2 linked regions of the Bombyx mori genome follow. The protein of the gene in region 1 purifies or fractionates together with the protein of each later gene. This does not show direct contact. Links are inferred from orthologs where the notes say so. Each region holds a gene or a part of one and is shown on either strand. Other genes may lie near its edges. The genes, in order: Ef-1g and valine--tRNA ligase.

The links.
Region 2: the proteins of Ef-1g (region 1) and valine--tRNA ligase purify together in Homo sapiens (affinity purification with mass spectrometry; 6 studies listed by BioGRID and IntAct, counting the BioPlex papers as one, with this or other methods). This does not show direct contact. The link is inferred for Bombyx mori from reciprocal best matches to the Homo sapiens genes EEF1G and VARS1.

Annotation. Positions count from the first base shown.
Region 1 is NC_085124.1:12,666,846-12,670,776, reverse strand, and holds the start of Ef-1g (elongation factor 1 gamma), read left to right. Parts: upstream 1-1,688; coding exon 1,689-1,700; intron 1,701-1,813; coding exon 1,814-1,963; intron 1,964-2,047; coding exon 2,048-2,114; intron 2,115-2,534; coding exon 2,535-2,677; intron 2,678-3,160; coding exon 3,161-3,301; intron 3,302-3,850; coding exon 3,851-3,931. Other genes in the region: Cnb (calcineurin B), read right to left, coding at 123-125. UniProt on the Homo sapiens protein: Probably plays a role in anchoring the complex to other cellular components.
Region 2 is NC_085114.1:14,506,959-14,510,789, reverse strand, and holds part of valine--tRNA ligase, read left to right. Parts: intron 1-965; coding exon 966-1,072; intron 1,073-1,565; coding exon 1,566-1,793; intron 1,794-2,295; coding exon 2,296-2,437; intron 2,438-3,555; coding exon 3,556-3,726; intron 3,727-3,831. UniProt on the Homo sapiens protein: Catalyzes the attachment of valine to tRNA(Val).

The sequences.
Region 1 (3,931 bases):
CTAAATTAAAAAAATCATATCATATAGACCGGTTTTTTTTCCAGGCATTGGGCTAAACTCTTAAAAATTTGTGACTAGCTACAGAACGTTAATCGAGTAAATAACAATGTTTTGCCACTTACCATTCTAAAGTTTTACTACACCACACTCAATCAGAGATAAATGTGCGTCTGACTGTTTGTAATCACAAACTGATTCCGATAAAATTAAATCAGAAGCAACAAAAATACCACAGCAGATTCACAGTTACCTACCATCGATGACCATCGATCTAAATTACGCACGGATTGTATTGTTGCCATGAATTGTATGAAGCTGCTCAAGGGAGGACCATTAAAATGAATTAGGTCAATATTTCATAGGTTCAATAATCAATCCAAAAAGTTCATTAGAAGTAATACTAATATATAAATTCATTTCCGTATGTTTTAATTTTATGGGTCTCGATATATATTTAGTCTATTGTAAATTCGTTAATAATAGTCAGGAGAACGTGAGTAGCGCCACCTACCTTGAGATATATTGTTTTGTACAATTGTATCAGCTACCTATAAGAAATAAGTTAAAACTAAATTTAGAGCAGAACTATCTACACAAATCTGTATTAGTTCCAAATTCAAAAGCTAGATTAGGCTAGACTCTTGAGCTTCAACTATTTTCTTCTGTTCTGCAAAAAACATTAGTAATAGTGGTAAAACAACTACGATTGCATTAAAAGAATCAGTAGCAGTGAAATGTAAAAGTTAATACACGGTTAATGTTTCAAAAAAATCATGAAATATTCAGTTCCAATAAAGTTACTAATACTTAAAGTGTATAAGCTCGTCCATGATAGTATTAGACAAATAGCGTTTTTAATCATTTAAATTGTGATGTGGCCATATTACGAGGTTTAACAGAAAAGTTAGCTAATACTTTATTCGATAAACTACTTTAGTCCACTTAAAAGAAGAACACAGCAACATAAATCATTCAATTCTCCTAGCAAAAACTAATTGCAGAAGTTGACTTTGTTCTATAAAATCATTCATTTAATTGCTCGCTTAGGAAGAAGCTAACCCACAAAATGAGCCACTGATCAGCATGGATGACATAAGACGTGCTGCTAGCATCACACAAATAAACTTCGCAGGTCAGACGATATTAAATTGTTGTCAAATATTAATTTGTGCCCAAGACATGGCCATAATAAATGTGTTTCAATCCTTCACGTCAGCTTGAAGACTTTTGAAAGATACAAAGACAGCCAGACACAGACATTCTCATTCAGCGTTTTGTTACAATGATAAAGAGCTACACAAGACTATATTCTTTAACATACGGTGTTTCTGATCGAGTGATGTATAGACTAGCTGTACGGACCGTGAGAGAGAATTAATAATATAACGTCCCGTGGTATTGGTAGTTTCATTAGCCCGAAAATAAGGACCTAAACTACAGTATGTACAGTCACTTGGAAATAGGCTTTTGGTTGCAAGGCATTTCCAATATTAGTCTAATTCTAATCTAATTAAAGAAAGAAAAAGGGATTTTTTTAATAAACTAAAAAATTGATTAACAGATAACCGTGTGTATGCAATTTTCACTTAATTTCTATTTCAGCTGTCACAGAATGTCAATGTCAAAGGGCAAAATCCTCCCTCGCCAATATTTCCTCGGCCCCCCTTCTCTTTCCGAAAACTCCAACCATGGCGGCCGGGGTAGGTGTAATTTACCTTGAAATATCTTGTTAATCCAGTCATTGATAGAAAACTTATTAATAAAACCCAATGATAATGAAAGTATTAATAATATTACGCATTTATTTTTTCAGGTACTTTACACTTATCCGGAAAACTTCCGCGCTTATAAAGCGTTGATCGCCGCACAATATTCCGGGACTGATGTGAAAGTAGCACCGAATTTCGTATTTGGCGAGACCAACAAGTCCGAAGACTTCTTGAAGAAGTTTCCTGCCGGAAAAGTGAGTTTAAACCGGCGTATTGTGCATAGTAATATTTCGGCATATGTTGAGTGTTGTGACGTGTAATATCGGTGTATATTTTAGGTGCCTGCATTCGAAAGTGCCGATGGAAAGGTGCTTCTAACTGAAAGCAATGCCATCGCTTACTACGGTGAGTTTTTTTATTTTCAAATACACCTACAAAACTAACTTAAATAAATCTAACCTAACTAACTAGAAGAATACCTAATAAACCAAAGTTAAAAAAAGATAAGGTTGTAAATACCTCTTGCGAAGTTATTTCAAATAAATTTAACTATATAATTCGTCGATGGTACAAGTATGAAAGCGTTTTTCTACTTAATCTGATTTAAAAACTCATAAAATCGACGAATCATGACTTTTCCTTGATGAAACAATACTCATAATTTCCGTTAAATATAATTATAGAGGACACTCACAAATCACTAATAATATTTAATTATTGCATAATATTTTATAATCCCAATCATACACCCTTTCACTTCAAGTAGTATCAGAAGTTAAAAGAAAAATACAACATTTAACTTGAATTAAAAAAGGAACTTTACAGTTGCCAATGAAAGTCTCCGCGGAGGAGATCTGGCTACCCAAGCCCGTGTCTGGCAGTGGGCATCATGGTCTGACAGCGAACTACTGCCTGCTTCCTGCGCTTGGGTCTTCCCTTACCTTGGTATCATGCAATTCAACAAACAGGTAATTGAAGAATTTGTGATATTAAAATATATATGTGTTAGTCTACTGATATAAGTGATTACATAAAAATATATGAATATTATCATTATTCAGAATTAAACTTTTTTTTTGCTTAGATATATGGCTCACGGCCCTACCTGATGTTAAGTGGTTATCGGACCCCATAGATATCTACAACGTAAATGCTGCCACCCACCTTGAGACATGAGTTGTAAGGTCTCACTCTTAACTGTACAACGGTTGCCCTGCCTTTCAAACCGAAACTCATTACTGCTTCAGGGCAGAAATAGGCAGGGTGGTGGTACCTACTCGTGCAGACTCACAAGACTTCCTACCATCAATAAAAATTTAGTAATATTAAACATAGGATCTTGTACGTTTTCTCTAATTTATTATATTGTCATGGTGCTTAATAAGCTACTCAATATTACAATTATAAGCCACAAACTACTGGCAACTGATATAAGGATTAAATAATTCCAGAATGTTGAACGTGCAAAGTCTGACCTACTGGCCGCCTTAAAAGTACTGGACGGACATCTTCTCACACGCACCTTCCTTGTTACCGAGAGAATCACACTTGCCGATGTCATTGTCTTCAGTACACTGCTGCATGCTTTCCAGGTGAGGATAAGGAAGTTATCCTATGAACTACTGAAAACTTTCTTTTAAGATTTGAATTGATTTTCTTCACCACTTGGAGTAAGCACAGTTAATAAAGTGATACTTCAGAGAATCATTAAACAATACATTACTAAATACATAAAAGTGTTTGTAAAGCAAATAGGAGAACAATAAAAAAGCATAAGACTAAAAAAAGCAAATTGTTATCGAAAATTAAATAGTACCTTAATAATAATAATGAATTTTTTTTTTATTGCTTAGATGGGTGGACGAGCTCACAGCCCACCTGGTGTTAAGTGGTTACTTGAGCGTATAGACAACGTAAATGCGACACCCACCTTGAGATATAAGTTCTAAGGTCTCAAGTATAGCTACACAACGGCTGCCCCACCCTTCAACCCAAAACACATTACTGCTTCACGGCAGAAATAGGCGCGGTGGTGTTACCTACCCGCGCGGACTCACATGGTCCTCCCACCAGTTTTTCAAGAAAGCAAGTCACAATCGATTGGGTTTGAATAGAATGCCATAAAAGCTATTTTACTTCAGCACGTGCTAGACCCGAGCGTCCGTTCGTCGCTGATAAACGTTCAGCGTTGGTTCCTGACCGTCGCCCACCAGCCGCAAGTG
Region 2 (3,831 bases), on another chromosome or scaffold:
ACGCGACCGTCATAAAAGTATTTTTATTATTATCATTTTTTATTGCTTAGATCGGTGGACGAGCTCACAGCCCACCTGGTGTTAAGTGGTTACCGGAGCCCATAGACATCTACAACGTAAATGTGCCACCCACTCCGAGATCTAAGTTCTAAGGTTTTAGTATAGTTACAGTCAGTATTGTTCACACGTCTGCCATGCTGAGGATGTCGATAATTGAAATCATTGTATGGACCTCTATTTTGTCATTGGTATTGTTACGCGCTGGGGTTCGAGATAAATAAAAGTTCCACCAAAGTATAACTTAAAACTGTATTTAACACTTACACCACTTACAGAACACTTTAAAATTCTCAATTCACTTCTTCCGCTTCGCTTCAGGTGATCCGTTCACTGTTTCGCTTCGAGTAGATCGGATTACTAACTAACTGCGTGCAATCTCTGCAACGCTTTTATAGTCGATACGATATCCATAAAATTGTCGAGAACATTCCTCACAAGTCGAGTATTTGCGATGTGTGTTTCCGCTACCTGAAAATAGATGGCGTTGTACTTCTTGAGCGTTCTAGATGTTACTAGACCCTTTGATATTCGTTTCGGCTATTCGGCGATAGATGACGTTACTCTTACACACTGGACACAATGGTGGAGAAGCTCACGAATCTCCGGCCAGCCTTGTCCTCGCTGCTCTCACACGAATATTTGACAATGTCAAGCCCTGAGGTGCTCCGTACTCCTCAAAGCTGAAGCTGCGATCGGCAGTTAAGTTATGATGATGCAAAACAGCTGACACGCGGGGCCCAACGCCCCCAAACCAAACGCCTCCAAACAAACAACCAGGAGTTTTGGAAATACATAAATAAATTCACATTCGATTCGCATTCACGAAAATAGTATACAGAGTCATGCTTTATAGACCATTCGTGTTATTTTGATCAGCTCGATCTCAGGGTCACTGTCTCCCGCAGGCATTCTATCCTGGGACCCTGTTGGAAACCGGCCACGACATCTTGTTCTTCTGGGTGGCCAGGATGGTGTTCTTCGGACAACGTCTCATGGGGAAGCTGCCTTTCAAGTGAGCAAAACTGAAAAAATAGCTTTAAGAGTTGAAGACAAGTATCAGTTGAGTAGTCAGCTGAGGAATTGTTTGAGATGATTCCATCATTTCGTTTTTACCATCGCACCGCCCGCTACCGGAGTAGAGTTAATCCATACTACCTGGTGCCACTGCGTTTATCCACAGTGCGTTTCCAGAGATCTTTTTTGCCACGTACCGTCCGGCTTTGGAATGATCTCCCCTTCACGGTGTTTCCAGCGCTATGACGTGTCCTTCTTCAAACGAGGCTTGTGAAGAGTACTTAATGGTAGGCAGCGGCTTGGCTCTGCCCCTGGCATTGCTGAAGTCCATGGCGACGGTAACCACTCACCACCAGGTGGGCCATATTCTCGTCTGCCTATAAGGGCAAAAAAAAGCTAATGTATTTTTTTAAATCATGTGAATCATCATGTTTCTACCTTTAATGCTACCTTTAAACCATGTATCCACCACATAATCTTCGAACCACCAGAGAGGTATACCTCCACCCGATGGTCCGCGACGCTCACGGCCGGAAGATGTCCAAGTCCCTGGGAAACGTCATCGACCCGGTGGACGTGGTGCGAGGAGTCACCCTCGAGGAGTTGCACCGGCAATTGGAAGACTCTAACTTGGACCCGCGGGAAGTGGAGAAGGCGAAGCAAGGACAGCAGCAGGACTACCCCAACGGCATCCCGGAGTGTGGCACCGATGCGCTCAGGTACCATCAATTTGTTCCTTTCTTTTTTTCCCCGCTGACAGCCTTGAGAGGCTATTTCAGCTTCTCCTTGATATGTAGGTGAGCTCACGGAACTCAAACCGGGAGTGTTGCTAACACTGGCCCTAGCAAGAGCCGTGCTTCGCAGAATCTACCACCGGATCGGAAACGCGACCCACTGAGAAGATCCGGCGAGAAACTCTCAGTGGACTGTGTCTATGGGTTAATTCACTCATCGAGCCCTTCGTCGCATGCAACGGGTTGGACGAGGACGGTGACCGGTGTTTGAGGTACCTACAAGCACCGTTAATTGATCGGGAGGATCCGTAATGACGTGTTTAGGACGACGTCGACTGTTTACCATTCGGTTCACAGGATCGGGTATGTAATTTCCGGCGGCCACGATGAGAGGGTTCTCGTGTCGTGCCGCTTTATCGAAATAGCTAATAGTTATACGAAATACAATCAAACGTTGAGGGTACTTAAGACGAGAATCCCTTGGCAGGTTCGCTCTGTGCGCGATGACCCAGGGCCGCGACCTCAACCTGGACATCCAGCGCGTGCAGGGCTACCGGTTCTTCTGCAACAAACTCTGGAACGCGACCAAATTCGCCCTCATGTATTTCCCGAAGGACTCCACTTACGAAGTGAGTATGATCTTACAATTCCAACACTGTTCTTTTTAAATACAAATATTGATTTTAATATTATTAGTCAGGACTGTCCAAAATACATACCTTTCCGGACTTATTAAATTTACTACAAAAACCGCCGCAGGAAACTATATTTTCAAGAACAACATATTTTTCGGGAATTCCCCCAATAAAAGTAAAAGATTTTTTCACTTTTAAATGATGTCACGGGAATGAAATGTTAAAAGAATAAAGATAATATACTAAATATTGATTATACTTGGTTATTATTAGGAGACTGCTTCCGAAAACGCAGACAGACGATAGTACTAATGACACCTTTGATGATGGGAAGGAAATCGATACTGATTTAGAAAAAAATACATTTTTAAAAATAAATTGCTTTACTAATAAAAAAACCAGCAATGAAACACAAAATCAAAAACAGCTGATGTTCGGATCAACCAAACCCGCGGGCGCGGCGCTGATACCGCACTCCTCAAAATTTACAACCTTGTAGGTACAAAATTTGCAGGTGCCATAAAACTGACTATATGTAACTTATACTTGAACTTATATCTCAAGATGGGTTCTAAAAATTTTTTATGGCCCTTGTAGGTTTTTTTATTTATTGCTTAGATGAGTGGACGAGCTCACAGCCCACCTGGTGTTAAGTGGTTACTGGAGCCCATAGACATCCACAACGTAAATGCGCCACCCACCTTGAGATATAAGTTCTAAGGTCTCAAGTATAGTTACAGTTACAACGGCTGCCCCACCCTTCAAACCGAAATGCATTACTGCTTCACGGCAGAAATAGGCGGGGTGGTGGTACCCACCCGCGCGGACTCTCAAGAGGTCCTACCACCAGTAAACGTAGGTAGGTAGTAAACGTGTAGGTAGACGAGCATGCGGCCCACCTGATGGTGAGTGGTTACTGTCGCTCATGGACTTCAGCAATGCCAGGGGCGGAGCTAAGCCGCTGCCTACCGCTAAATTACCGAATTTACGTTGTAGATGTCTATGGGCTCCAGTAACCACTAAACACCAGGCGGGCCGGGAGTTCGTCCACCCATCTAAGCAATAAAAAAAAGACTGTTCGATATTTATTTAACAGTTAAATTAACCAACAGGTGCACGGCCCTAATCTACCCGCGGACTTGTCGCGCATGGACCGTTGGATGCTGTCCAAGCTCGCGCTCGCGGTCCAGAGAGTGAACGGCGGCTTCGCGGCCTACGAGTTCCCAGCGGCGACCACGCACTGCTACAACCTGTGGCTCTACGACCTGTGCGATGTCTACCTGGTGAGTCCCGGGTGAGGCTCGCGGGCCGATTTAGACATGTACATATTTTTTTTAGGATTCAAGAATTACTGGTGGCCCGGAGGTCTTTCCAGTTTCACCAGGACA